Diceros bicornis minor: one gene and its partner. The protein of the gene in region 1 purifies or fractionates together with the protein of each later gene. This does not show direct contact. Links are inferred from orthologs where the notes say so. Each region holds a gene or a part of one and is shown on either strand. Other genes may lie near its edges. The genes, in order: NLRX1 and MAVS.

Region 1 (15,438 bases):
TGTACTTCAGAGCTGAATCCTCCCCCTCTTTTTCACCCCATGTTTCTATAGCATGTTCCACATTATCTCAAATGATCTGTGTGCCTATTTTTCTCTCCCTCCAGACCAGAGTCTATGTCTTACTTATTCATCATTGTAATCCCAGGCATTCAACAGGTGCTCAATATATGCTTGTTAGACCGAATGGTGCTCTGGGCTTCTTAGTACCTCCAAGTCCTGAATCATACAGTGTGGACAGGAGGTAGGGGTGGCCAGAGTGACCCCCTTCCTGCCAGCTCCATCCCCTTCATAGCAGCTGTTCCACCTACCTCACCCCACCCCCATGGTGGCTTCTCTCTGGACAGTGGTCTGGACAGTGCCTCCTGTTTCCAAGTGGTGTCTCTCATGAAGTCCCTGGCCCAGGGGGGCCGTACCATCATCTGCACCATCCACCAGCCCAGTGCCAAGCTCTTTGAGATGTTTGACAAGGTGAGTGTCTCTGGACCTCAGTGATGACTGGCCTGTAATGGGGACAGGGAAGGGGGTCAGGAGAGGTCCTGGTGGGACCTGCCTGGTCCACTGGTCCTGTTTTCCTCACCCTTCTCTTTCCTCAGCTCTACATCCTGAGCCAGGGTCAATGCATCTTCAAGGGTGTGGTCACCAACCTGATCCCCTATCTGAAGGGGCTCGGCTTGCACTGCCCTACCTACCACAACCCAGCTGACTTCAGTGAGTGGGGCCCTGTTGGTAGGGGCTGGGATATGGTGGTGGGTCAAACCTGGGGGCTTGGGTCATGTACTCAGGGCTCCTGGGGGCAGAGATCTCACTGTTACCTGCCTTCCCCACACACCCAAGAAGGGGCTGGCTTGCCTTGGGCACCAAGGATAGATCTTAGCTGACCACTCCTCTTTGTGCCCTCCAGTCATTGAGGTGGCCTCTGGAGAGTATGGAGACCTGAACCCCATGCTGTTCAGGGCTGTGCAGAATGGGCTGTGTGCCATGGCTGAGAAGAAGAGCAGCCCCGAGAAGAACGAGGTCCCTGCCCCCTGCCCTCCTTGCCCTCCGGTGAGTAGGGGAGGAGAGGGCAGAGAGTGGAAAACGAGGGAGGGGAGACAGGACCATGGCCCTGCCGAAGAGGCTGTCCCCCAGAGGCGTCACAACCACTGGGTACTAGGAAGAACCCAGGACTTGGACTAGATCTACTATTAACAGCTGTGTGGCCTTGGGCATGTTATGTAACCTCTTTGAGCTTCGGCTCTCTTGTTCATTTATTTGTTCAGGAAATTCTTACCGAGCATCTGTAGTGTGTTGTCCTCAGTGCCGGCAGTGCCATTGGTAAGCAAGACAGATGTTGTCTCTGGGCTCGAGGCCATTGTGGCTTACTGTGATCTCTACCCTGGAGGTGGTGAGACTTCCTCACAGGGTTATTGGCAGGACTAATTAGATCATCACTTAAGGCTCTTCGCAGTGTAGCTGGTACAGATCAGTGCCAGCTCTCTTCCTTAAATGAGATACTATAGCCCTTGAAAACTGGAAGAGTTAGTTATTGCTGTTGTTGTCATCATTATTATCATTGTTCAATAATATTATTGTGAAACTGGTGGCATACAGGTATTATACCCTTAGGATAAATGCTTTTCTATAGATTAAAGAGGAGAAGTGACTGATCTCCTAGTAGCCCCCACAGGTGTCCTTGACTCCCTTTCCATCTCCTCCCTCTGAAGTTTTTACCCCTTCTTGTGTCTCTCTCCGAATCTTGCTCTGATTCGCTCCCCTAAGGCTAGCTTCTAGGTACACAACTCAAGGGTGGAGAATTCTCCTTCAGTAGACCTGAAGGACCCCTGCCCTGGGGAAGGGCTCAGGAGTTTTCCCACTCACTGAACTGGGTGCACAGTGGATGGGTGGGGTAGGCTCACTTGATCCAATTTCCTCTCCCCAGGAAGTGGATCCCATCGAAAGCCACACCTTTGCCACCAGCACCCTCACACAGTTCTGCATCCTCTTCAAGAGGACCTTCTTGTCCATCCTCAGGGACACGGTGAGGCATCAAGTTGGGGGAGAGGAGGCTGGCATAGGCCTGGCTTTTTGGGACATAGGATCCCAGCAGCTGGGATGGGGATGGGGTCCTTCCCCCAGCAGCCGCACCAATGCACCTGTGGGTTTATGTGCCTGTGAGGGCAGCTCCGAGTTCCTACCCCAGTGTGCCCTGCCCATCCGTGGCCTTTGACCCCTCCCCTCTCCTCGTGGTGACCCCCTCGCACAGGTCCTGACCCACCTACGGTTCATGTCCCATGTGCTGATCGGCGTGCTCATTGGTCTTCTCTACCTACACATCGGTGACGATGCCAGCAAGGTCTTCAACAACACTGGCTGCCTCTTCTTCTCCATGTTGTTCCTCATGTTTGCTGCCCTTATGCCAACTGTGCTCACCTGTGAGCTGAGCTGCCCTGGGCGTGGGGCGTGGGGCATGGGTTCTGGGACCTGGGGTGTCAGCCAGCTGTGCCTAATTTGCCTGTGTCCTCAGTCCCCTTAGAGATGGCAGTCTTCATGAGGGAGCATCTCAATTACTGGTACAGTCTCAAAGCATATTACCTGGCCAAGACCATGGCTGATGTGCCCTTTCAGGTGAGTCTCTTCCTCCCACCTGCCCAATGCCTCCCTCTTGTCCTGCTCCTTCCATCCTTGCTTGCTTGCCTCCCTCAACCTTGTCCCCTGCCATCCTTTCCATTACTTCCACTCACTTAGCAAATAGGTAGTAAGTACCTACTGTGCACCAGGCTCTGAGCCAGGCACTAGGAATACAGCAGTGAACAAGATGGACATCGTCTTGACTTTGTGGAACTTATGGTCTAGTGAACTGGTTTGACATCTAGGAACTGACGACAAACCAAACAGAAATAATGAAAATAATAACCCTACAAATGACTCTCTAAATCTTATTCAAGGCAGTAGCGGATAGTGTCAGCTCTGGAGCCTCACTGTGCTTGTTAGCTGCAAGACGTTGGGCAAGTCACCCAATCTCCCTCTGCTTCAGTGTCCCCATCTATAAAATGGAATGATGATATTATCTACCTTGGGGTTGTTTGGGAGATTAAATGAGTTAATACATGTAAAGTACTTGGCACATAAATAAATGTTAGCTGTTTTTTGTTGTTGTTGTTGCCACCACCTCCCCGTTCCAAGCATGAGGGCCACCAATAATCCATAGGGCACCATTGTGCAAATTAGAAAAAGGTGCCCCTTCCTCAGGGTGGACGCGGCACTGTACAAGGGGGCATGGCTTAGTGAGAAGAGCACTGCTGGGCCTTGGCCTCTGGTCGCCTCTTGGTTGGGTGCCCTTGTGCAGGGAACAACTTGCATGACTGCACACAGTGGGCTCGGTCCCTGCTCTCCAGGTTTTGATAGCTCAGAGGGGGACAAAACGCTCTCATATGTAGATTAGTTAATTAACTGTATAAGGAATAAGCTGGTCCAGATGAGAAGGATTTAGAAGCTCAGAGGACAGAGAAGTCACCATGCCTGAACTGGTCAGTATGGGCCTAATGGAAGAAGTGAGACTGGAAGATGAATGAGGTTCATATAGCGAGGGAGGAAGGGGACATGTGTCAACCTAGGAGGACAGCATGAACCAGAGCGTGGAGGCAAGACTAGGCGTGGACACTCTAGGAATAGCTGTTCTAGAGGTCCTGCCTGGGCGGAGTGGAGAGTCTTGGCCACCATGCCTCTAGCTCACAGTCTGCTGCCCAGCCCTGTGCCCCTCCCCAGGTGGTGTGCCCGGTGGTGTACTGCAGCATCGTGTACTGGATGACAGGCCAGCCAGCTGAGAGCAGCCGCTTCCTGCTCTTCTCAGCCCTGGCTACCGCCACAGCCTTGGTGGCACAGTCTTTGGGGCTGCTGATCGGAGCTGCTTCCAACTCCCTACAGGTGGGAGGGCTGGCAGGTGGGGACCCCTGAGAGGGGTCTGGTGGGAGGAAGCAGGGGCTGGCACAAAGAGTGGGATGGCCCCGAGGAAAACCCTGGGCTCCCCAGTCCTATGTCTGTCAGGTCACTCCTGTGACAGCTTGATCCACTTCTCTCCCCTCCAGGTGGCCACTTTTGTGGGCCCAGTTACCGCCATCCCTGTCCTCCTGTTCTCTGGTTTCTTTGTCAGCTTCAAGACCATCCCCACTTACCTGCAGTGGAGCTCTTACCTCTCCTACGTCAGGTCAGTGCTCCTTCCCTCACCATCTGCTCCTAATCCTCCCTGCAGGAGGCCATGCCCCCAGGGATGAGAGACTTGCAGCTGGGCTCTGGCATTTGCCCAGGGAGCAGTGACCCTATGCTCTGTATCCTGCCCTGATGCCCCTCTTTGCCTAGGTATGGTTTTGAGGGTGTGATTCTGACCATCTATGGCATGGAGCGAGGAGACCTGACCTGCTTGGAGGAACACTGCCCATTCCGGGAGCCACAGAGTATCCTGCGAGCACTGGATGTGGAGGATGCCAAGCTCTACATGGACTTCCTGGTCTTGGGCATCTTCTTCCTGGCCCTGCGGCTACTGGCATACCTCGTGCTCCGTTACCGGGTCAAGTCGGAGAGATAGAGCCTTGCCCTGGCCTGCGCCCCAGCCCCTGCAGCAGGAAGCCCCCAGCCCCAGCCCTCTGGGACTGTTTTAACCTTGTAGACTCGGGCACTGGTTGCTGGCGCAGCTGCCCTCCCCTCTCTCGGCTCCTTCACAGGCTGGCTGTGAACTGCGGACTGTGCTCCCAGCCTTGGCCCCGGGAGCAGGGGCTCCAGCCCTCCCTGCCATGCCCAAGAGTCTTCCCAAGTCGATGCAGTTTGTAGCTTCCTCCCCACTCTCTCCAACATCTGCATGCAAAGACCACTAGGAGGCTGCCACCCTCCTTCCAGCCGTCCGCACCCTCCTCTGTTGTCTGCCTGGGAGCTCCAGGCTCTCCAGGCCCCTACTTACAACTGACCAAAGTGGCCCCTCTGGGGGTCCCCACCACACAAGTGTTTGTAAACTGGGGTGTTCTAAGGTTGGGGTTCCAGGGCTGGGCCCTGGTGGAGTCCCATGGAAGTCCCATTTGGATGCTGGAATGGAGCAGGGAAGGACTCTGGAAGTCTCTTCCTCCTCCTCACCTTCTCCCCACCCCCAGACCCTCGTTGATTCGGACAATCTGCTGGGACAGAAGCTGGGTTTTCTGTCTGGGTCATCCCTCCCAATCCTGGGGATTGGAGAGGCCTGGGGCCATGGGATGCCACATCTCCTGTCCCATCACCCTTGGTGGGGGCAGGGCCTGGTGGCGCCTCTGCAATAATGTCTGTGTTTCTCTCTCACCTGCCACTGGAACTGGAGAAAGCACTTTATTCTGGGGCATGAGTGGGAGAAGACCCAAGCCTCCTTTCTCTGCTCCTGTGGCATGGTCCTGCAACGCTCCCTCCCTTCTCCAGAGTTACAGGCACATACATGGGAAGAGGCAATCTCAGCCCTACACACACTCACCGTCCCCTATGGCTCAGAGGAAGAGTGATGGTGGCATGCTGGTGGTGGGTGCTGCAGGGAGGGCAGTGCCAACCTCCTCCTGGGGATCCCGTTTTGACTCTAAGGATGAGGCTGGTGCAGCCCAGGGTGTCTCCAGGATCTGCAGGTGTCTACCCCCCAGTCTTCCCTCCCTCCCAAGCCAGGGGTGGCACAGAGCACTAGCTCCATGGAGTTCAGGACCCAACACAAGCACAAGCACGGGCATAAGTTGGCCTTGGCCACTGCCACCCCATGGACCTTCTTTTGTGCATCCAGCTGGCATTCTTACTCCCCACTCCGTCCCCAGCTGCTTGCTGCTCAGTCAAACTCCTGTCCGTGTCTCACCACCCGCTTCCCATCAACCAGGGTGGCCCTTGGGCATCAGAGCAGCATGCCCTGGGTACCAGGGTGACAGACACACCTAGAGCATGTCTGGCTTTCCTGGTGGGTCCAAGCTCATTCTATTTCTGAGTTCCCTACCCCCCCAGGCTCTTTCTCCCTTGTTCCTGGGCACATACCTCCCTACCATCCCGCACCCTGCCTTGGATTCCCCCCATGATGCAGAGATGCCAGTTGTATTTGTGGGATTTCACCCATTATTAATAAAACCTATATTTATACAGTATGCAGTGTGTAAATGTATGTGGGTCTGGCACCTGGTACCATGGGCTGTGAGGGGTCTTCAAAGTGCTTGGCAAGATGTCTGTGAGATGTTGGCTCAGGGCCAATCTTCCTCAGCAAAAAGAGGAAGATTGGCAATAGATGTTAGCTCAGGGCGAATCTCCCTCACCAAAAAAAAAAAAAAAAAAAAAAATCTGTGAGCTTTAGGGAGCCTGTGGCAGGGGACGGTAAGTTCTAGGTACACGTCAGGCTAGTGAATGTGTATCTCATGAAATATCGGTATCATGCTTTACATCTTACAGATACTTCATGTTCATTACCTCAAGGGACTCTAATGCTGACCCTGTGTTATCCCTCATGACAACACATTTTGCAGATGAGAGAACTGAGGCTTGGGTTAAGTAACTTGCCCAAGAACCTTCAGCTGACAGAGGTGGAACCAGGCCTGGGAACCAGGTCTTCCGCCTCCAGACTCCTTGTTCTCGGTGTTGGCCAGAGATGTTGCTCATGGTGAATCTGCAAGCTGCATATGGGTGCCCTGTGTCTGCTGCAAGAGTATGTTCTTGCCTGAGTGATGCATGACTCTCTCTTCAGAACTCACTGAGCCCCAGTTGTGCCTATGGAGGGGGGGAGGTTTGTGGTCATGAAGGGCAGTGAGAAGCAGGAAAGACCCTGGAAGCTAAGTCCTAGGACGAGAGTGGCAAGGACCTCACTGGGCTCACCGCAGCTTTCCCTTTTCTTCCTCTCTTCTTTCCCACTGGGCCACACTTACCAGGGCCCAGCTATCAGCCACCAGGTCTGCAGATGGGTCTGGTGGCCTGAGGTTTGGAGTAGACAATTGTCCAGAAGGACTTGAGGGCTGGTGGCAAGATGACCCAAGAAGCAGCACATTGTCTCTCCCTCTTCCCTCCTGATTCTGAAGCTTGAGGACTCAAGGAAGGGACTGGCATCAATCTGCCAGCTGCCTGGAACACCCTAGTTGTGCCACATGCAGAGCTAAGTGCTCCAGGCTGGATGAGCGTCCAATCTATGACTGGTTGGGTGCTTGCCTGGAGATAGGCTAACTTTGTTCCTTGTGGAGGTTGTGGGTGGGAGTGGGAAGTGGGAGAAAGTCCGAGTCCTAGCTTCTGGAATTCTAGTTAGCTTTAGGGGACATTCTGAGTGCTACCTTCTCCCTGGAATGAGGCCAGTAGATGGCTCCTTAAAGTCAGAGGGCACAAAATCCCATCATTAGACAGTCTTTGTTAAGATTCTTCATCTTTACTCTTTCTCCTTTAAAATGCAAATACTCCTGAAAGAGTAAAACACTTATAAATTCACACATTTGTAAGTTCCCTTGAGAGCTAAAGGAGACAAACAGCCATTCCGGAGCCAGCAAGGGCCATTCAGGCACAGAGAACATTTGTAGAGCGGCTTAAGTATCTGTGAAGAAAGCTCTTTTGATTCTTACAGCAACCCCATGAGGCTGCTAGGATGAGAATTATCATTTCCTCCTTTTACATACAAGGAAACTGAGGCTTGGAGAAACGTCTTGAGCAAGCTCTCAAGATACTGTGCTGTTGCACAGTATCTTCCACTGTGAACCACCTGTGATTTCTCCCGTCAGTCCCAGTAACCTGTGGAGGTGGGGCATAAATGCACTCTGCCCATCCAAGCATGTTTTGAAAGGGGCCCACTCTCCCTGAATGCCGACCTTCCTGGACTCAGAGATCATCATCTTCAACTCAACCACCTTCTGTGTCAGGGCCTGTGCAAGGTGCTGGAGGGCAGAGATGACTAAGGCAGTTCTCCATGCTATGGCTCTACAGCACCTATGGCTCTACAGCACGGGCGGCCCATCCAGAGGCCCACAGCATGACTCACAGTCCTTCTGTCTGCAAGAGGCCAGTCAAATTATATGTTATTAATAAAACCTACAATGGCTGTCACACCTGCTGGAAGTGCGGGGGAGGGGAACGACTTGCTCTGAGCTGTTTCCAGTAACTGCAGCCAGGGGCCTGTCTGCCTCACATGGCTAAGCAAGTAGAGTGTAGCTAGAGGAGTCCCCCAGCCTTGAAATGTCACCCCGAGACCACATTCGTAGCGTTGCTCTATCTCCCCTCCGCTCATCCCATTCTACTTCCCTTTTAGAACTTCTCTTAAAACGAAAACGTGCCATTTCTCTGCCGCCTGGAATGCTCTCCCTTCCCTGACTTATTTTTCAAGATCCAGTTCAAATGTCATCTCCTTTACCAGAGGCAGTTAGTAACTTCCTCTCCCAGCCTTTCCTGAGGTTTCCGGCAGCCTCCAAAGTACCATCGCTTGTGCTCCCTGGAGGGAGCTGCTATGGTCTGGCCCCTGCATGCCTTCTTCTGGTTGCTCAGCACTAGCCCAATACCATGTGTTCAGTGAATGAACAAATGAAATATCAACACTGTCTTCAGTCTGGATGGAGGGCAGAGATCTTCCAAGCCCTCCTTCCAGCCCTGCCCTGAGGTGCCTCTCTACGAGTTCCCTATTGCACACCTCGGTTCAGTGCACATTGCAAACGTATGTTTGCATGTGGAGGCGTGCCCTGGCTGTGGGTGGTGGGTGGCTCCTCCATCAGCTACATGGGCCCTGCGTGTGCCCCGTACGGAGGCACAGAGATGAGGGTGGGGGCTTCGAGGACCAGGAAGCCCCAGGGCGAGGCCATGATTGGGTGTCAGACAAGAAGAGCAGGTTTGGGTGGGAGCTGTCCCTCAGCCCCTAGTCTTCCTTATTCCTTGACCAAAGCCACCAGAAGCCATACACAGAGGTCTGGGGTCTGAAGAGAGTCAGGTACACAGGGGAGGACCCAAGAAGGCCTTGACTCAGATCTTTGCCGAGAAGTAGGCTGAGGAGGTGAAGAGGCACGGAGGGAAGAATGCCCTGGGGGCGCATGGGTGCCTCAGGAAGGCCCGGGAAGGAGGAAGGAAGACCTAGGCCCCGGATTCTTGTTCTGGCTCTTCCAGTTCCTGATTGGGTCAACCTGCGCAAGTCATTTCACCCTTCTGAGCTGCAGTCCCATCATGTGTAACACGGACACCACAGCGAGCCCTGCCTAGGAGGTGGTAGTGAGGTAACCGGATGGGCCTGGCGCTTGGCAGCCTGCAGAGGGCAGTCCTAGCGGCAGGGCCCGCCCGGATGGAGGGCTGTACCCGCGGAGGGCAGGGGCGCTGGAGGGGCGGGTGGGGAAGTCCCCGCCCCGGGCCTACTTCCCGGGGCACCCGGCCCCTCTCGCTGTCCGTTCCTCCCAGGACCCCCGCAGGCCGCGCGCGCCTGGGCTCCTCCTCTCGGTGCCCGCTGCCGGGGCTTGATGCCAGGCGGACAGAGACGCGCAGGAAGCGCCGCGCCGCGCCGCGCCGCGCCGGGGCCTCTGGGAGCAAGCGAGAGACGCCGGCGGGCGACGGGCGACGGGCGACGGGCTCCCGGGCCCCGGCAGCCGCGGGTAAAGGCCTAGCTGGCTCTGTCGCCCCTCGCTCCAGGCTGGGCCGCTGCGCTTGGTGGGGGCGGGGGCGGGGCGGGGGGTGCTGGGCAAGCGCCCCTGGGGGTTCGCGGCGGGACGGGTAGGACGGAGCCGTGCGCTGCGTGGTGGGCATTCTGGCCGGCTCTCCCCTTGGGCTTTGAAGCCAAGCGGAACTAGGAGAGCTGTTTGGGACCCAGTTTGGGGGATGGAGCTCTGGACCCGCGGGACCACAGCCCCCATACCTTTCCTGCTTTGCCCCTCCCTTTCTCACTGCCCTGGAGACCTGGGGTGATTTTCGGAGAATGGCCCTCACCACCCCCGACCCCCCACCCCCTCGCAAGTCCCATCTTGAGTCGGTAGCCCTGGTAGCCCTGGATCTGATGTTATCCCGCGGAGCTAGTTTCCTCAAGCTTTCTTAGCTTTCCAGGGCCCTCTCTTAAGCCTTCTCCAGCCCCTGGGTCTCCTGCTCTCAGCCCCAGACTGCCCCTCCACTGCTGGCAGGTGGGCCCAATGCAGCTGGTTCTCCTTAAGTGTGCCCTCCCCTTAAGGAGCCACATCTCAGTGGAGACCAGGTGCCAAACAGTAGCACACTCCATTTAAGGGAGCTCAGAGAGATCAGGAAAGACTTCCCAGGAGAGAGAACCTTTGAGCAGGGTCTTAAAAGATTGGGTAGCATTCTGACAGGAGAGAAAAGTCATTCCAAACTGAAGAACGTGCATGAACAAAGTTAGGAAAGTGCAAGCAAAAATTCAGTGAGCCTGGCGAATGAGGTGCCGGTCGTGGGCAAACTCGAAAAATAGCTTGTGAGGGCCAGGTGTTTGGACTCTATAGTAACCCAAGATTTTAGGGAGGCCACTGGTGGCTGGGATAAGGGATTGGAATGGGATGAGACTGAAGGCAGAGGCCAGTAAGGAGAAGGGGGTCCCGGAAGTCCCAGAGGGTCTGATGCAATAGGAACAGGCTGGCAAAGCACTGGGAGGAGGAAGCAGTAGGATTGGTTCCACTGTCTGAAGGCGGGAGGATTTAAAGACTAAGAGGTCAAAGTTCTAGTATTAATTGTGTGATTGGAAAGATCTGCAGTAAAGTAAATAAAAGGGGAGGGGAATGATGAGTTCAGTCCTGCATGCGTGAAGCTTGAAGCACCGGGGCCGGATGTCCATATGGAGATGTCAAGTAGGAAGTTCATTCATTCATTTATTTATTGTTTATGCCAGCCTCAAAGGCAGCTTATATAAAAGTCACAGAGAAGATAAAATGATAAAAACACTGAAACTCAGCTAAAAGGACCTGATAGCGAGGGAAAAAAATGCAGAGGGAAGTGAATAATTGTTACTGGAAAATGTTGGCTCAGAAAAGCCACTGAAAATGAACACAGGACTCACCTGAGTTTGCTGGCAGCCAAGCAAAAAAAGGACATCTAAATAAAGCAGTTCACTAGACTGGAACTCAGGGGAGAGGCAATAGGTGGTAGGAGATAAAATGGGATTATTCAGGTGGGGGATGTGGGAGAGGGAGGAGATCTGGAGGCCAGGCCAGGGCTTTGGCAATGCTGGCATTTAAGGAAAGGCTGACGCTCTCCTGAGGAGGAAGGCCTGCACGGGGAGGTGGGAGTGGGAAGGTCGGGGTGTGTGTGGTCCGTTCATACCATTCTTCTTGCAGGGGAACAGGATAGAAGATGGTGTGCTAAATCCCCTGGGCTCTGACCTTCTTTCCCACCATGAGGTGGGGCCGCCATTTGCCCAGGGCCTCTTGGGGCCCTGGTCTGGGTAGAGCATTCCAGGCAGCAGGTGAGCAGGAAGCAGGGGTTTCTGTTTCTACTTCCCTTTCCTCTTCAGAGTCCAGATGGTGCCTCCAAGAGAGGAGGGATCCAGAGACCAGGTGTGCTAGTCCCAGCTCTGTGATTCAAGGCTGTTGGCCTTGGGCGAATCACCTCACCTCCCTGAGCTTCCTTTTTCCCATCCTAGGATAAGGGAGTCGGACTGGATGATCTTTGAGGGTCCCTGTAGCTACATAAGTCCAGGAACACTTGTCTGATTTTATTTTGCATGCAACAAATATTTACTGAGTGCCTGCTATGTGCTAGACCCTGTGATAAGTTCTGAGTATATAATTATGAACCAAAACAGATGTGATCCCTGCTCTCATGAAGGGGGGTAGTGTACGGAAATGAATGTTAATCAAATAATTACACAATGAAGTATAAATTTGCATAATTGCTACAGAGAGGCGGTACATGATGCTATGAGTAAATGTTGGGGGATTTAATGTAGATGTGAGGTCTGTGTATTGGTGGGGAAATGTGGTTGGGATCTGGATGCTATTTCTTCTTTCTCTCTGTAGATGAACGTTTCTCCTTCCTGATCCACTGGAGTTGGCCCCTTAAAAGGGAGCGTCCCCTTGAGCCCCCTAGGTGAGGCCTCAGTGTCATACCTTAGAACACATCTGGGCACGGCAGAGTAGCTTGGGAAGGGTCAGACCTTGAGAGAGCTTGATCCCTGGGGGGGAGGTTGGTCTTCTGGGGGTGGGGAGAGTATAGAGCCAGCTACCAGGCCTAAGAGGCAGTTGACTTACATCATCTACAGCACAAGTCACAGTGGTTAGCCAGAGGGAGGACCTGTGGGAAGTGGGTGGGGTCTGGCAGTGGCCACCCTGAACTCCAGGCAGGCAGTCAGCATTGGGGAGCTGGAGGGCTAGGGTTGAGACCTCAGTCTCAGGGAAGGGTCTGAGAGTTAGACAAGGCTCTCGACTTGAGTATCCAGGGTCAGGCCTGGCTCTCAGAAAGCTAGAAGTCCATCAGTCCAGACAGGCCTGGACTCTGAGCCTGTGCAGAGGCTGAGCCCAGTAGCCAAGTCCCAGCTCATCCCTTCTCCTTGCTCTTAGGGTCTTTATACGCCATCACGGAAGCTCAGCGGACAGTGGTCCCCCATCAGGGAGGCATGGACAGTTGTTCCGGGGTGCCTCTGCAGCTGGTAAAAGGACTGGCTCCTCAGTGAGCCTGAGGAGAGGGGCTGGCTGGGATCCCAGTGGAGGGTGGGGGAGAGGGGCCTGGAGGGAGAAGCAGGCAGGAAGAAGGAGGCATAGAGGATCCACTGCCATCATCCATCAGTGGGACCATCCTCCCTCACCCCATCATCCATCTGTCCATGTGTCCCTTCCTGCAATATTCGTGCAAAGCACACTTACTGTGTACAAAGCACTTGGAAGGATATATCATCCCTAACTTGCCACAAACTGGGTCCAGCAGTCAGGTGAAGATTACATATAGATAACCGTGCAGCCAGTCAGCCCAGGCTCAGCATCACTCGTCCTGTGGCTCCCCACTTTCTGCCACAGGGGCTCCAAACTTTCTGGACAGTCTGTATTTTCTGAAGGAGTCCTGTGTGCCCAGCACCATTCTAGGCCCCTGCATCTCCTGGTGCTGTGTCTTGACTCTGCAGTCTGACCGTACCACCACCCTGCCCAGTCCTAAGCTTCTGCATCTCCCTGCCCCTTCCCTGACCCATTCTCCTTGCCTTCCCATCTAGAAGCTATCCAGCAGCACCGCCAGAACCTGGCTGAGTGGTTCAGCCGGCTGCCCAGGGAAGAGCGCCAGTTTGGCCCAACCTTCGCATTAGACACAGTCCATGTAGACCCTGTGATCCGTGAGAGCACCCCTGATGAGCTGCTTCGCCCACCAGCGGAGCTGGCCCTGGAGCATCAGCCGCCTCCGGCCAGGCTCCCCCCACTGGCCCTGTCTCAGCTCTTTGACCCAGATGCCTGTGGGCGCCGCGTGCAGACAGTGGTGCTGTACGGGACAGTGGGCACAGGCAAGAGCACACTGGTGCGCAAGATGGTCCTGGACTGGTGTTACAGGCGGCTGCCAGCCTTCGAGCTGCTCATCCCCTTCTCCTGTGAGGACCTGTCATCCCTGGGCCCCGCCCCGGCCTCCTTGTGCCATCTTGTGGCCCAGCGCTACACGCCCCTGAAGGAGATTCTGCCTCTCATGGCCACCGCCGGGTCCCGCCTGCTCTTTGTGCTCCATGGCTTGGAGCATCTCAACCTCGACTTCCAGTTGGCGGGCACAGGGCTTTGCAGTGACCCTGAGGAGCCAAAGGCGCCAGCTGCCATCATCGTCAACCTACTGCGCAAATACATGCTGCCCGAGGTAAGTGGTCCCCTGCCCCGCCACCGCTGCCCCTCACTTGCCTCCTAAGGATTTTTGTGTCCTGGGCATGCGTGTTAATTGAGTAGGCGCATAGGCTCTGGGTTACTTCAAACCCTGCTCCTCCACTTCCCAGCTGTGTGTCTTTGAGGAAGTCACTAACTTCCCCAAGCTTCTGTGTCCTTCCCTCCTTGAGTTGTACTGATGAAATGAGATACTGCATATAAAGCGCTTAGCAGAGTGCCCTGGATCGTAGTAGGTGCTCAGTAATTGTGAATTTAATGATTATGGTCATTATCATCTTCATCCTTGGACACTCCATCTTCAGGGGCTCCCTGGGGAGTAAAGCAATCAGGACACCAAGGTCTCTCTTAACCCTTAGCTGTGCTCTTCCCAGGCCAGCATTCTGGTCACCACCCGGCCCTCTGCCATTGGCCGCATCCCCAGCAAGTATGTGGGCCGCTATGGCGAGATCTGTGGCTTCTCTGATACCAACCTGCAGAAGCTCTACTTCCAGCTCCGCCTCAACCAGCCAGACTGTGGGCACGGTGCTGGGGATGTGGGTGTCTCCACCACGCCGGCTCAGCGTGACAACCTGGTACAGATGCTCTCCCGGAACCTGGAGGGGCACCACCAGATTGCCGCTGCTTGCTTCCTGCCCTCCTATTGCTGGCTTGTCTGTGCCACCTTGCACTTCCTGCACGCCCCCACGCCGGCTGGACAGACCCTCACGAGCATCTACACCAGCTTCCTGCGTCTGAACTTCAGTGGGGAGATGCTGGACAGCACTAACTCCTCCAAGTTGTCTCTGATGGCCTATGCAGCCCGAACCATGGGCAAGTTGGCCTATGAGGGGGTGTCCTCCCGCAAGACTTACTTTTCTGAGGAGGACGTCTGTGGCTGCCTGGAAGCTGGCATCAAGACAGAAGAGGAGTTTCAGCTGCTGCATGTCTTCCGCCGGGATGCCCTGAGGTTTTTTCTGGCCCCGTGTATTGAGCCAGGGCACCTGGGCACCTTCGTGTTCACTGTGCCCGCCATGCAGGAATACCTGGCTGCCCTCTACATTGTGCTGGGTTTGCGTAAGACGGCTCTGCAGCGGGTGGGCAAGGAAGTGACCGAGCTCGTGGGCCGTGTGGGGGAGGACGTCAGCTTGGTGCTGGGCATCATGGCCAAGCTGCTGCCTCTGCGGGCCCTGCCTCTGCTTTTCAGCCTACTTAAGGTAACAGCCCCCATATTCCCTGTTCACCCCTTGCTCCTCTCCCAGAAGGAAACTGCTACTTCCTGCATAGCCATGAATCCTCTGCTTGGCTCAGATTTGGGCCATCTGGCTTTTAGTGGGATTGGGGCATAAGGAAGCAGGAGAGAGAACCCGCAGGCTGTGGAAGGTTTGGAGGCTGGGAGGGGACTTTAATAACAGTCCTACAGTCCTGACGACAGTTTTCTTTTTGCATCCCTCCTCCTAGTCTTCGTTGATGGGAGGCAGGAGTCACTATAGTCCAGGGTCTGTCCTCTGCTCTGCAGGCTCAGAAACTTGATTGTCTGCTCCCCCAGAGGTGATTTAGACTCCAGGAGTGATGACTCATCCTAGCTAAAGCACCAGAGACAGGTTTATAAAGCAGATGCCATTTTATTCATTTATACCAGGAGGATAAATGGCTTTAGTAATTGGTTTAGGACAGTCCGTCCAGGGTGCAGGTCCACTTCAGAAACCAAATTACAGGCCTGAGA
Region 2 (14,846 bases), on another chromosome or scaffold:
AGAAAACACACACACCATCCCATGGGGAGTTCCCATCCATCTGTCTGGCCCTATAGAAAGTCTCCCTCTCTGTGGCCACCGCACAAACACCCTTCTTGAGCTTCAAGTCCACAATTTGGTGTCTCCTGGGCACCCCACTGCCCGCTTATCATATCTAAATAGAATTGGTCATCTTTCCCCCAAACTTGACTTTACTGGCAATAACTACAGCTCTACTATCCCCCCCTACCCCAGCACCTCCTGCTTCCTCACTCCCCCTCATCTGGTCATCCCTTGGTCCCTTGACCCAGCTCAACATCTCACATGATCATTGCAAAGACCTCAAAACTGTGACCTCACAGCTGGTTGATGACAGAGGGCTGGGGGCTGCCACAGGGTAAAGCCCTCGTTGGCAGTCTAGGAGCCGGTCTGGGGTAGATCCCTACTAGGGGAGCCCGGAGGTTCTGAGCAGAGATTAGGCATGATTTGTTGGGGGGAAGGGGAGGGCTTCTGGAAGGCTGCGTGAGCAGAAGTGGCAGATAGGAACACAAAAGCAGGGAGCCCAAGGTCGATTGTGAGGACGCACCTCTTCCTGGTACTCCGGCGGCTGGGTGTCCTGGACAGGCATGGGGTAACTTGGCTCCTCCTCTCTGCAGCCATTGGCGGGGGTGCTGGGGGCCACGGTGGGTATGGAGGGCCCTGGAACCTCAGCAGGAACTGACGGTGGCTCCAGTGGGGCTGCAGGGCGGTTCGAGGTCCCTGGAGGACAAATATATAGCAATGTCAAGGAGGACTCAGGGTTGCTCCCAATGACAGGAGAGGCCTGGGTGTTCTTGGACCCACAGGTCCATGGCTATCAGCTCCCCACAGCTCCAAAAGGTGTCTTGATGTGGGATGCATTCCTCAGAGGAGACAAGCTTCACTGAGTGGGAGGGAGAGAGGAATTGGGGAGGACAAGGAGAGGCAGGAGTGGGGCAGGAGCGTGTGGGGCGCCTCATGGGCCAGACTGGGTCAGCAGTCACCACTTCTCTGTCCCCAGGCATTCTGGGACCCAGTGGCTTTCTCCTCCTTGTGGGTGGCTGTCACCACCAACTGACCCCTGACCTGATGCTGCCTCCTCAGCCCCTCCCCTTTACCCCATCCCAGGCCCCCCCCCCCACAAATGAAGAGACACATTAGGAGGAAGGATAGGAGTAGGGAACGGAAAGGAAGGGAAAAAAAGGCAAACGTGCGGATATTCTAAGGCTGTAAATCTGAGCAGGGTCTCAGGAGTTGCCTCTAGTCTGAAATACAAATAAGGCTGGCTTGAGTTTTCTTCCTGTCTTGGCCTCTCAGACCTGATGTCATCAAATCCCCTCTGGGCACTTGGCAGGGAGCATTGAGAAGAAGCTGGGGAGTAACTGGACCGCTGGGGGTGGGCAACCAAGAAGGTTCTAAGGGAAACCAGGGGGAGGCGAAGAGATGTGCGGAAAGGAAGGAAGGAACCCAAGAAGGAGAAAGAGAAGGCAGTGAAGAGAGGGGAGGAGAAGAGAGGAGTGGAGAGAGGGAAGGTGAGCTGAGAGAGAAGAGATGGGAGGAAGTGAGAAAGGGGTCAGTCAGAAAGGAGGCAAACGTCACAGCCACAGAAACTAGAGGAAGCTCCATTTGCTGAGCACATGGGAGGTGCCCAGCGCCAGCTAAGCACTCAACATGCCACCGCCCCATGGTATCCACCGCAGCCCTACGACCTAGATGTTGCCATTAGCCCCATTTTACAGAGGAGAAGACTGAGGCTCAAGAAAATTAAGAGACTTGGCTAAAAGGACACAGCTAATAAGTGGCCTGGGATCTACACCCAGGCTTGTCCACTGCCCAGGAGTGATGGGAGGGAGAGTGACAGAAGTGACAGGGGTAAGGGGACAGGCAGAGCGGAGGCCAGGGGAATCAGAGAGGGGGTTCCAGGAGGAGGGCCGGGGCAGGAGGCTCACGGGGCAGGCTGCTGTGGTAGACCCGGGCCACTTCATCAGCGAGACCAGACAGCTCACAGGCCCTCAGGGCCTCGATGAAGGAATGCACCCAGCCATTCCGCCGCCGAAGGCTGTTGAAGAGCTCCAAGAGGGTGTCCTGGTTCCCCCAGCGCTCATAGGTGGCCCGCAGTCGGTCCTGGAAGACAGGAAGACACACCCCACTGCCCGGCTCAAGCCAGACGGCCCTGCCTCCTTCCCCACTCAGCTTCCCCCACAGCTGCAGAGGGGTGCCCCGGAGAAAGCACGAGAGAGGCAGCCATCTGAAACTGGGTCGCAGTGCAGGACAAGGCCAGGGCTGAGCCTAAGTTTCAAGGTAGCTACCAGGAAACAGGCTCTTACTGTGTCCTAGGCTCTGCGCTCAGGACTTCATGTGAATTATCTTATTTAACGCTATTATTACCCCACTCTACTGAGGAGAAAACTGAGGCTTAGCACATACAAACAACAAGAGAGTAGAAAACATTTACTGCAGAACGAGGGGACAAGGTATCATTACAAACCCCAAAATAGAAGAGGGAGGAGCCAAACCCCATCAGGCACAGACCTGAGCACTACTGGGATCTGCGTGGAGGAAGCAGAGAGCCGTGAGGTTCGATCTGAGAACTGCTAAAACTGAGCGGGGGTCTGGCCCACTTCACTAGGGGCCCACAGCAAGTTCTGAGGCGCTAGCGCAGTCTGGCTCTCATGAACTCTCAAAACGGGGTCCCATAACAAGGAGAATGGAATCAAAACTGAGCAGGAACAAGGACAAGAAAGATGAAGAAAAAGAAGGCTCTGATAAAAGTGGGCCAGGGGACCGGAGCCCGGAAATCTCAGAGAGCCAGCGCCATGTTTTTGAGCACTACACCAAAATGACACCAGAGGGAGCTCAGCGAAGCTGGAAAGGTCACCCTGAACCACACTTCATTCCAAAACTTAGAAAATTGTCAAGGAGAGGGAGAAGGAAGGAGTTGGCCCTGGCTTGGGTAATGCTCTGGAGTCCATAGCCCTGCCTCCAATCAGTGGCTGGCTGTCACGCCCTGGCTCACCTGGTCACTTGCGGTGAGGCAGGACAGGTAAGGCAGAATCTCCAGAACATGGATATTGCGAAAAGTGCTGTGATGGTGGCGGATATACTGAAAAGTCTTGTCCTCGGCAAATGTCATTTCTGTCCAGGTTCTGAAGTGACAGAGGGCTCTGGCCCGTGACGGGTGGATGGACTGCGAGAGAGGAAAAAAGATGAAAGAAAACAGCCCACACATGGCAACGGGGTTGGGCATGGAGTTGGAGAAAAGGCAATTCTTTCTTTCTCAACTCTTGGGAACTTTTGCTTTTGTCTTTAATCATCCTATTTTATGACTGCCTGAGTCCCAGAGGCCCTCTGTGAATTTGCTTACAAACAAATTGAGGAGCCCAAAATAATCAGATCCAGAAGATCCAGGGCCCATTTCTGCCCTGCAGTTTGGTCAGGGTTGGGGAGGGCTCTGGCTTCCCCCGCATCCTCCCCAGGTCTGTGTGTGCCCTAGCCAAAGACAACAAGAGGGCTCCACCTAGAAGGGCTGCTTCTTTGGGGTATACTGGAAGAAAAAGAAGATGACGCCCAACATGATAATAACAGGATCCATCCTAATTTAAAGGTGAATAAAACGAAGTACCAACAAATTAAGGGGGCTTGCTAGTTAGTGGAAGAGCAAAGAACGGAGGTCTTCCAGATCCAGGATCATGTTCTTTGCAGAGCACGACCGCAGGTCCACTCTTAAAGCTTGCTATATACATGTTCTTAGGGCAGGAGGCTGAGTTCCCCTCACTGTGTGAGCCGGGGCAAGTTACCAGTCTTTTCCAGGCTTTTCCTCACCCATAAAATGGCTCAGGGAGCTTGTTTGGACGATACAGTAGTTCAGCCTTACAAGCTTGAAATTTCAAAGTGCCTCGAATACAGGCCATCGCTGCTGCTTGCTTATGTGGCACTTACCACAGTCTGCGATTACAGATGTGTTTGTTTCCTTGTTTCTTATTTGCCTCTCTCACTGGGGAGAGCTGCAGGGAATAAGACAGACAAGACCTCTGCCATCATCCAATTTATATTCTATTGGGGTGGGACAGATAGCAAATCAGTAAACATATACATAAACAAGAATCCCAGATAGTAATCAAGGTCTCCGGCCACGCTGAGGCCGTGTCCCACGTACAGCGACTGGAAGGATGTGCAGCTATGGCATACAACTATCTACTGGGGCTTTGGGGGAAAAAATAAATAAATAAAATTAAAAAAAAAAAAAAAGGTTATAAAGAAACCAAAGCAGGGTAATGAGACAGAGCCCCTGGAGAAGGGCGTGCTGCTTGAACTGGGATGGTCAGGGAAACCTTTCTGCATTGGCAACGTTTGAGCTGAGCTGTTCTTGGCTGTGAGAAGATCGGTGTTTCAGGCAGAGGCCACAGCAAGCGAGAAGTCCTACGGTGGAAATGAACTTGATATGTTTAAAGGTTAGAAAACAGGTCAGTGTGGTGGAGGTCTAGAAAGCTAGGGGGAGGGGTAGACATCAAGGTTAAGGGGTTGGGAGGGGCCACTCACGTAGGGTGTTATAGGAAAGGACTTTGGTTTTATTTGGAGTACAAAAGAAAGCCATTGGAGGGATCTGAGCAGGGAAGGGAGAGGATTTGACTTATGTTAAAGACTTCTCTGGAGGCTGTAAGGACCCTGGACTGTGGAGGGGCCGGATGGAAGCAGGGAGACAAGTCAGGAGGCCAGGGCAGGGGACACACGACAGGTACAGGTACGGCTGAGATGGTAACCATGGCGAGAGGTGGTTGGATTCTTGGCGTTTTGTGGATGTGGAGGTGAGGGAGAGAGAAGAATCAAGGGTGACTCCTCAGGCACTGGGTGGATGGTTGGTCCAAAGAATCTAGCAGAGGAGCAGTGGCACAGAGGGGACTCCAGAGTTCCATTTTGAACAAGTGAAGCTTGAGATGCTATTGGATGCCCCAGTGGGTTTTCAGGAAAGGAAGGGGCGGCAGAGGAGAGAGTGCCAGGCTGGAGTAGAAACATGGGTGTCAGGCTTGGGTGAAACCCCTAGGAGACAGTGCTGCAGAGCAGAGAGTGCCCAAAAGCTGCTGAGGCCACCAATCCCTCACCACATGGGAAATGGGGCAGCAGTCCTGTCTACCAGCATCACAGCCTCACATTGCATGACTCACTTTGCCAACCACCAGGAATGTATCGCAACATCCCTAATGGGGCAACTGCTAATGACAGAGGTCAGGAGGATGGTGGGGGCAGGGGTCCTTTGAGACTTCAGATGAGCAAAGAACAACTCTGTGGTGGCTAATAGACCCTTTTCTCCTTCCCCCCATGGCATCCAGGGAGGTACCAGGAGAGAGTCGAGTGATACATTCTTCTGCATCCTAGCCTCAGCCCGTAAGGCACAGAATTTGGGGGGTATGGGGGTATGATGCGGTCCAACCAAAAAGAAAGGAAGCCCGTAGCTGTTCACATTTATTGAGGGTCCACTATAAGCAGGCACATCCTAAGTTTCTTTCACTTAATCCTTGGCACAATCCCATGAGAGGAGAAGTGATGCCACGTTGCACAGCTGACCAGTGGCCCTGAAAGGACTTGGAACCCAGGACTTGCTGCCTCGTTGAGGCTCACCATACACACTGCAGGGCATAGACGCCCCTGCAGCAAGTATGAGTCACACAGCACCTGGCTTCAAGCCCTGGGAGGGGCCAAGGCCGCTGCCTGGGTGAGGGTGCCCTTCAGAGGATGCAACATTTATTCCTTTCTCTCTCGTGGGAAATGGAAATCTTTCAGGCAGGGCAGGACACTAACCCTGCCCGCCGCGGTTCCAAGGTCGCTGACTGTTCTTCCAGACGTTTTTGAGGCTCCACAGTATCCATACGGAGAAGGTTGTTTTTGTTTTCCAATGTTTTCCTAGCACCGCCGTCGCGTCTCCGAGATGGCTGGCAGAGTGTTTTGGACCGACGCGGCAAGGAGAGTTTCCCACCTGACCGCCCCAGAGGCTCTGAGCGCGCTCCAGAAAGAAATACCCACCCCCGCGGGCGGGGCGAGGCCTCACAACCTCGGCTCCGATTCCTGGATTCCTGGGCCCGACCCAGCTTCGCGGAGGACGGGGAGGCTGTTCTTCCGAGCAGGTGTCACCACCGAGAACTGTCAAGACTCAGAGGAAGGCGGCAGCTCCCGACCCCCAGGCGCGGCCGCGGCCCCAGAGGTTTGCGCACCCCGGCTAGGCCTCGCCCGGGGTCACCCTGGGCCTGCGGGCGGCTGGAGGAGCCCAGCAGCAGACGCCAGTCTCCTGGCCTAACCTCGCTGTATCCGGAGCAGAAGCCTCGCGCCACCCACCTCCCGACCCCGGTACCGGATGCTGCGCGTGGAGCCCTCGCTGCCTCAAGCCCCGTGTGCCTTAGGTCCCACTCTTCCCCAGCCCCTCCCGCCCTGCCCCCTCCCCGGCCCGCGCGCGCCCACACCACGTGCGCCCCGGCGGACTCCAAGTACCCCTCGGCTCCTGCCGCCACGGGCCACCTCCACCTCCCCGAAAGGCGTCCGTGCGCCCTGAGCCCAGAAGACCGAGCGCCCGGGGCGGCCAGCTTACCTCGGGTAGCCACGACCCGGCGACCGACCGCCGCTGACAGCCCGGAACCCTCCCCCACAGGGAGGGAGGGGTCGGGTCGGGGCCGGGCCGCGCGGCCATTGGCCAGGCGGCGGGGGCGGGGCTCGCGGCCCGCGAGAGCCTTGCGGCGCCCGGCGCTCGGCGGTGGTTTGAGAGCCTGGCCTCGCGGGACGGGCGCTCGGGATAGACCTGGGTTCCTGGGGGGGCACGGAGGAGCAGATTATTTTCTTTCCTTGTTTTGTCTCGAGCAACTTCCAGGGGAAGTCCAGGATCTGGCTAGAAACCGAGTGGGCGGCCGATCTCGGAGTCGACGGCCACCTCGGTCTCCGCGCTTCCTACGCGAAGCAACCCCTCCTCCGCGGAGTAGTTTGAGGGAGTGAAGATCTTTATGTCGTTCGCTCCTGGGCGCCCAGGGCCTGGCACACAGTTAGTGCTCAGTAAACCTCGGGTGTCAAGCAAAGTGCACAGGGGCGCGAGTGCCCAGCCAGGCGAGGCACATGCTGGGCCTGAAGAAGCAGGATCGGGGCGGGGTAGGGGTGGGCCGGGTAAGTGGTGCAGGGCAGGGGCGCCAAGGTTGACTCGCCAGTCACGCTGGCTGTGGGCCCGGAGTGCTGTGTGGGAAAGGCCTCTCCACCTAAGGCAAGGGTCTGGGGCCAGTACCTCCCTGCACTGCTTGCCAACAGCCTCACCATTCCTCTGGGGCAGAGGTCAGCAATTACTGAGCGTTCACTATGTTCCAGGTACAGGCTTAAAGTCTTATACCTTATGACCCATTAAATACTCTCACAATAACCAGGTAGAGGTTTATTTTTCCCGTTTTCAAGAGAGGTTAAAAAATTTGGGAAAATGGCAATTCTTACTAAAGTTACATATATGCCAACCCTATCACCCAGCAACCACTCCTGAGTATGTGTCCACCTAGAAACACACACAATAGATAATGTTCATAGTGGCTTTATCTACAACAGGCAAACTCTGGAAACAACCAAATGTCCATCAGCAGGACAATGGAGAAACAAACTGTGGTGTGCTGACACCATGGAATAGCATACAGCAGTGAAAAAGAACAAACTATTGATACACACAACATGGAAGAATCTTACCAGGATGAATGGGCACCATGACTAACCAAGCCAAGCACAAACAGTACCTGCTGTCTGTCCCCAGTTACAAGGTAAGATTCAAACACAGGCAAACCTCATCTACATAAATAGAAATCATTTCACTGGTTACCTCTGGGTGTTGAGGGGTGGGGTAGAAGGGAGCCTTCTAGGGGGATGGAAATGTTCTATATCTTGATGTGAGTGGTGGGTACATGGGCTTGGGCATATATAAAAATGCATCAGCTTACACTTAAAATTGTTACCAAAAAAATTGTTACACTTTATACTGCAACTTAAAAAGGAAGAAAGAAAGACAAATGAGGGGTTAAGAGATTTGGCAGAGATCATGTGCAAATGCCTGAGTACATACCTGTCTCCAAAGCCAGTACTCCCAAACCGAATTGCAGGAAGATGCCTGAACTCTTTTCATGTGAGATTTTATTACTTTACTTGGTAACCCTGTGGCTATTTCACAATGTTCAGCATTTACAAAATATTAATATCACACCTGAACTCAACTAACCATAGGTTAGTTGGCCAGCTCTGTCTTGTTTAGCCAAGACAGGGTGAATGTTGATTGGTTCAAGAATTACTCCTGCCTGCTACCTACCCCAAATCCAGTGACCTCATATCTAATTCTTGCAGGAAGAACATTGGGAGTGTAGCGACTGGCTTCCAAATGCAGTTGTCACCCCTGTCTTTGCTGGAACTCGAAGGGTATTAAAAAAATACAGCATCCTCAAAAACACAATACTTTCTTAGTCCATTTGGGCTGCTCTAACAAAAATACCATAGACCGGATGGCTTAAACAACAAACATCTATTTCTTGGTTCTGAAGGTTGGGAAGTCCAAGATCAAGGTGCCTGCAGATTCCATGTCTGATAAGGACCACTTCCTGGTTCATAGACGCAGTCTTCTCACTGTACCTCATATGGTGGAAGGAGCAGGGGAGCTCTTTCAGGTCTCATTTAAAAAAGCACTAATTCGGGGCCGGCCTGGTGGCGCAAGCGGTTAAGTGCGCGCAATCCGCTGCGGCGGCCCGGGGTTCGCCAGTTTGGATCCTGGGAGCGCACTGACGCACTGCTTGGCAAGCCATACTGTGGCGGCGTCCCATATAAAGTGGAGGAAGATGGGCACAGATGTTAGCCCAGGGCCAGTCTTCCTCAGCAAAAAAAAAAAAAAAAAAAAAAAGGAGGATTGGCAGATGTTAGCACGGGGCTGATCTCCTCACAAAAAAAAATAATAAAATAAAAATAAAATGAAATAAAAAAGCACTAATTCCATTCTTGAGGGCTTCACCCTTATGACCTAATCACCTCCCAAAGACCTCACCTCCAAATACCATCACATTAGGGATTAGGTTTCAATATAGGAATTGCGGGGGTGCATAAACATTCAGTCTATAGCAGATATCAACCAGTAGGATGGCTATTATAAAACAAACAAACAGAAAGTGTTGGCAAGGACATGAAGAAATTGGAACCCTTGTACACTGCTGGTGGGAATGTGAAATGGTGCAGCTGCTGTGGAAAATAGTATGGCGGTTCCTCAAAAAATTAAAAATAGAATTACTATATGATCCAACAATTCCACTTCTGGATACATACCCAAAGAAATGAAAGCAGGGACTCGAACAGATATCTGTACACCCGTCTTCATGGCAGCATTATTCACAACAGCCAAAGGTAGAAGCAACCCAGATGTCTATTGATGAATGAATGGATAAACAAAATGTGGTATATTCATACAATAGAATACATTATTCAGCCTTAAAAAGGAAGGAAATTCTAACAAATGCTATAACATGGATGAACTCTGAAGACATCATGCTAAGTGAAATAAGCCAGTCACAAAAGGACAAATATTGTATGATTCCACTTCTATGAGGTATCTAGAGTAGTCAGATTCATAGAGACAGAAGGTAGAATGCTGGTTGCCAGGAGCTGGGGGCAATGGAGAATGGAGAGTTAGTGTCTACTGGATAGAGAGTTTCAGTTGGGGAAGGTGAAAAACTTCTGGAGATGGATGGTGGGGAAGGATGCACAACAATGTGAATGTACTTAATGCCACAGAACTGTACACTTAAAAATGGTTAAAACAGTAAATTTTATGTATATTTTGCCACAGTAAAAATCCTGGCCTTGGTGATTTCCTGCCACCTTTGTCAGGGAACCAAAGGAGGACACAACATCACATCTATAGTATTCTTCCTAAAACTCACAATTGGAGGCAAATCATGAAGAAACATCTAACAAACCCCAAATGAAGGACATTCAATAGCTGTCCTGTCCAATATAGCAGCCACTTGCCACATGTAGCTATTTTAATTAAAATTAAATAAAATGTAAAATTCAGTTCCTCAGCCTACAAGCCACATTCCAAATGCTATTTTCATGTGGCTAATGGCTGTCATATTGGACAGCACAGATATAGATTTTATAATTTTCTATCATCCCAGAAAGTTCTACTGGACAGTTAAAGTTATATTGGACAGCACTGAACTGCAGAATAACTCTTCAAAAATGTCAAGGCCATGAAAGACAAGGAAAGACTGAGGAACTGTTCCAGATTAAAAGAGAATAAAGAGAGGTGACAACTGAAAGCAACATGGCACCCTGGGTTGGACCTGAAATAGAAAAAGAACATCAGGGGCCGGCCCCGTGGCGTAGCAGTTAAGAGCGCGCACTCCGCTGCTGGTGGCCCAGGGTTCAGATCCCGGACGCGCACCGACGCACCGCTTGTCAAGCCATGCTGTGGCGGCACCCCATATAAAAAAGTAGAGGAAGACGGGCACAGATGTTAGCTCAGGGCCAGTCTTCCTCAGCAAAAAGAGGAGGACTGGCATGGATGTTAGCTCAGGGCTGATCTTCCTCACAAAGAAAAAAGAATAAAGAAAAAGAACAACAGTTGGACAAATGATGAAATCTTACTAAGAGCTTTTGGATTAGTTAATAATTTGTATCAGGGTTAGTTTTCTGGTTTTGATCATTGTACTGTGGTTATATAAGATGTAAACATTTGTATTATTTTTGCAACTGTTTTGTAAGTCTGAAATTATTTCAAGATGAAAATTAAAAAGTAAACTAAAATTTAAAAATCATCTTTTGACCCTTTCTGGCTATTTATATTATTTTATCTTTTATTGTTGATTGCATTCTGCCCTATTTCATGAGTAGAATTCATTGATCATTGTCCATTTACTAGTGAAAGGTGAGTCTAGAAAGTGATCTGTGCCCCAGCACCGCCCCCCCCCCCGGAAGGCCTCGGAACCACCCCACCCCCACCCCGTAAAGCTCATCCGGGGGCAGGTGGCCCATATCCCCAGGCCAGTGCTCTACAGAGGGCTGTGGCTCACATGTAATGACTCAGCAACCACCAGCTCACGTTTCCCCCCAGAGAGTCAAGTCAGGCCCAAAGATAGTGCCAGAGGGCCCCAAAAAGGGACATGTTCTCAGTCTGAGTCCCTTCAGGGAACTCTCCAACATTGAAAAACAAAATATAATCCCTACCTTTACAACCTCATTTCAAATAAGTTTTTAAACTGTTATTCTTTAAATTATTTTATTTTTTCATACTGTCAATTTTTTTTGGGGGGGGGAGGAAGATTAGAGCCTGAGCTAACATCTGTGCCCATCTTCCTCTACATTTTTTATATGTGGGACACCGCCACAGCATGGCTTGATAAGTGGTGCATAGGTCCGCACCTGGGATCCGAACCTGCGTAGCCTGGGCCACCGAAGCAGAGCGCGCGAACTTAACCACTATGCCACTGGGCCGGTCCCCACGCCATCAATTTTATTACAAAAAAGTTATATATGTTCAATAAAGCTGGGGAAAAATTAATATATGCATATATAGTTAATATGGGGAAAAACAGAAATGTTTGATGAAGAAAACCAAAATCTGTACTCATAATGCCACCACCCAAAGGTAACCACTGGTGACACTCTGGTGTCTTTTCTTCTAGTATTTTCTTTTCTATACTACAAGGTATCTGAATCCTGTGGTTTCCTGAGGTCACCCTTGCCTTGATCAGCCACGTGAGATGGGTCAAGCCATGATCTGGGACGTAACAGGGACTGGTATGAGCCCACCTTACCTCTTAGTGGTCTCAGGAGAAGGAGGGGGATCTTGGTCTAGGGCAGCTCCTGGGTCAGGCCCTGCTGCAGCAGGCTTCTCCAGGGCTGTCCAGCCCCTGTGGTCAGCATGGCCTCCTCATTGGCCTCAGAGCATTGTGTTGCTGGTCACCTGCCTCAGGGGCTGCCATCCTGCCCTTCCTTACTGAGAACCACTGACATAGGTGGCTTGGCAGCAGACGTTTACTTGAGGTTTGGGGGTGAAGACAGGGAAATGAGTGCATGAGCAGGGCATGCCTTTAAAGTTAAATATCAGAGTTCCTAAAATTCATGGGCCTCCCCCAATGCAGGAGGCTTCTCCCTGGCCACATCCCTCTGTGGCCTCAGCTTCCTGCCACACTGCTGGTGCCCTGCTTGATTTCAGCCCCTCTTACTATCTCTTGTCCTAGGTCCCCTCCCCCAGGATCTGGAGTTCAGTGCAGAAAAAAGAAACTACCACAGGTGTTTTGTGCATGGAAGGCTTTTGTTTCGTGAAGCATAATTTACATTCAGTGAAATACATCAATCTTAAGTGTGCAACTTGATTAATTTTTATCCAAGTAAATACCTGTGTGACCAGCACCTAGATCAAGATCTAGAATATTTCCATCTCCCGAGAAAGTTCCTTTGTAGTCCTTCTTTATCAATCTCCACCTCCAATCTTTATTCTGATTCCATCATCATAGTTTATTTTGCCTGTTCTTGAATTTAATATAAATGAAATCATATAATACCTACTGTTTTGTGTCTGGCATTTTCCACTCAGCGTGTTTTTGACATCCATCTATGCTGTTGCATATATCAGGAATCTGGGTTTTTTTTTTTCATTGCTGAGCAGGATTCCATTACATGAATATACCACATTTTGTTTATCCATTCTATGTTTAATGGAATATTTGGGGTTTTTCCAGATTTAGGCTATTAGGAATAAAGCTGCTATGAACATTCATATATGTCTTTTTCTGGAGTTATGTACTCATTTAAAAATTGCTGGATGATCAGGTAGTTTAGCTTTATTCGAAGCTTCTAAACAGTTCTCCAAAGTGGTTACACCACTTTACACTCCCACCAGCAGTGTGTTGAGGGTTCCAGGTGCTCCAGTCCAGTCCACTTCTTCACCAACACTTGACATGGTCAGTTTTTTCACAGGAAGGAATTTAATACAGGGAATTAGTTGGTTACAAAATTGTGAGAGGGGCTGGAGGAACAGGAGTCAGGGGGCTGCCACTGGAGTAACTGAGCTCAAGAGCACATCACCATAACCATGGTCAGAAGTGAGGAGGCCACTGCTGCCACCCCCAGCTCCACACGGCTCTGTCTCAACTTCTGGTTGATGCAGGAATGCTGAGTCTAACTGCTGAGACTGGCTCTAGACCCTCACATCTTTGTCTCCTTGCTGTGAGAAGTGACAGCAAGGGCCAGCCTCACCAGGTTAAGTTCGTAGTGGTTAAGTTCGAGAGCTCCACTTTGGTGGCCCAGGGTTCCCAGGTTCGAATCCTGCTTGTGGACCAATGCACTGCTGTGGTGGCATCCCACATACAAAATAGAGGAAGATGGGCACAGATGTTAGCTCAGAGCCAATCTTCCTCACCAAAAAAAAAAAAAAGAAGTGACAGCAAGAAGACAGCCTCTGCCCCCCAAATCTCTGACAGAGCATCTAATTGTCAGACCTTATTTTATATTCATAACTCTAGTTGCAAAGGTGTCTGGGAAATGTAGTTTCCAGCCTCTGCAAAATATAGGAAAGCGCCCTATAAGGAGGTAGAGATAGTTGTTTTAGTTGGCTTTTGCTGAGTAGAAAAGCTACCCCAAAACATAACAGACTAACATAGCAACTGTTTAGTTAGCTCAAAGTTCTGCAGGTTGGTGATTTGGGGCTGGGTTTAGCTAGGCAGTTCTCATCTTATCTGGCCTCACTCATGCTTTTGCAGTCAGTTGCCAATTCTGTTGGGAAATGACCGGCCTAGGATGGGCTCAGCTGGGATGGATCATCTCTGTTCCACATCGTCTCTCATCCTCCAGCAGGCTAGCCTAGGCTTGTTTTCATGATGGCTGGGCAGGTTTCCAAGAGAGAGCACAAAATGGTCTTTAGGTCTGGGCTCCAAAATGGCATATCACTTCTGCCACATTCTGTTGGCCAAAGCAAGTGACAAGGCTGACCCAGATTCAAGGTGAGTGCAAAGAGACTCCACCTCTTCCGGAAGATGATGTAAAGCCACTTTGCAAGGGTATGAATAAAGGCTGGGATGAACAGTCAGGGTAATCTACCACACTCATCCACAGTACCCCCCATACCTTCCCCTCCCGGAACTAGCCAGCAATCTCAGGTACCTTTCTTTTTTGTGCAAAGCAATAAGATTCCCTGTATCTTGCCTTTTCTGTCCCTTTATTTTGACCTGTCTCCTGGATTCCTTAACTTTATTTTCCAAATCTTCTAATTAATTTTTAATGTAAGCAATAATATTTTTATTTTCTGAGAACTCGTTCTTGTACTCTGTTGTTCTTGTCTTTGCTTTATGGATGTGATATCTTCCTGAATCTAATTACTGAGAACAGTAATTAGAGAGCCTTTCTTTTTTTTTCATTTCTCTTATGTTTCCTGCATGGTTTTCCTCTGAAACCATTTTTTGCAGTTTGCTTATTTAGGTTCTCTTTTGTGTTGCAGGCTTTCCCCAAATGTCTGGTGAACTTTGTTTGCATTAAAAATGAGGCAATAGGGGCCAGCCCGGTGGCATAGTGGTTCAGTTCGTGTATTCCACTTTGGTGGCCAGGGGTTCACCGGTTGGGATCCTGGGCGAGGACCTACTCACCACTCATCAAGCCATGCTGAGGCGGCATCCGACATAGAAGAAATAGAAAGACCTACAACTACAATATACAACTATGCACTGGGGCTTTGGGGAGAAAAAAGAAAAAGAGAAAGATTGGCAACAGATGTTAGCTCAGGGCCAATCTTCCTCAAAGAAAAAAAAAATGAGGCAATAAAAAGCACTGAGGGAGTTCTGTGCACATCCATGAGTTGGCTTGCTTAGGGG

The links.
Region 2: the proteins of NLRX1 (region 1) and MAVS purify together in Homo sapiens (affinity purification with western blotting; 4 studies listed by BioGRID and IntAct, with this or other methods). This does not show direct contact. The link is inferred for Diceros bicornis minor from reciprocal best matches to the Homo sapiens genes NLRX1 and MAVS.

What each region holds. Positions count from the first base shown.
Region 1 is NC_080746.1:17,830,955-17,846,392, reverse strand, and holds the start of NLRX1 (NLR family member X1), read left to right. Parts: upstream 1-8,815; 5' UTR 8,816-8,965; intron 8,966-9,075; 5' UTR 9,076-9,182; intron 9,183-9,514; exon of another isoform or gene 9,515-9,551; intron 9,552-11,228; 5' UTR 11,229-11,286; coding exon 11,287-11,356; intron 11,357-11,909; coding exon 11,910-11,979; intron 11,980-12,449; coding exon 12,450-12,538; intron 12,539-13,093; coding exon 13,094-13,713; intron 13,714-14,107; coding exon 14,108-14,929; intron 14,930-15,438. Other genes in the region: ABCG4 (ATP-binding cassette sub-family G member 4), read left to right, coding at 345-468, 594-708, 902-1,044, 1,919-2,017, 2,243-2,411, 2,504-2,604, 3,745-3,903, 4,065-4,183 and 1 more.
Region 2 is NC_080758.1:32,221,455-32,236,300, reverse strand, and holds the start of MAVS (mitochondrial antiviral-signaling protein), read right to left. Parts: upstream 6,614-14,846; 5' UTR 6,575-6,613; intron 6,345-6,574; exon of another isoform or gene 3,937-6,344; intron 3,185-3,936; 5' UTR 3,131-3,184; coding exon 3,014-3,130; intron 2,122-3,013; coding exon 1,947-2,121; intron 739-1,946; coding exon 566-738; intron 1-565.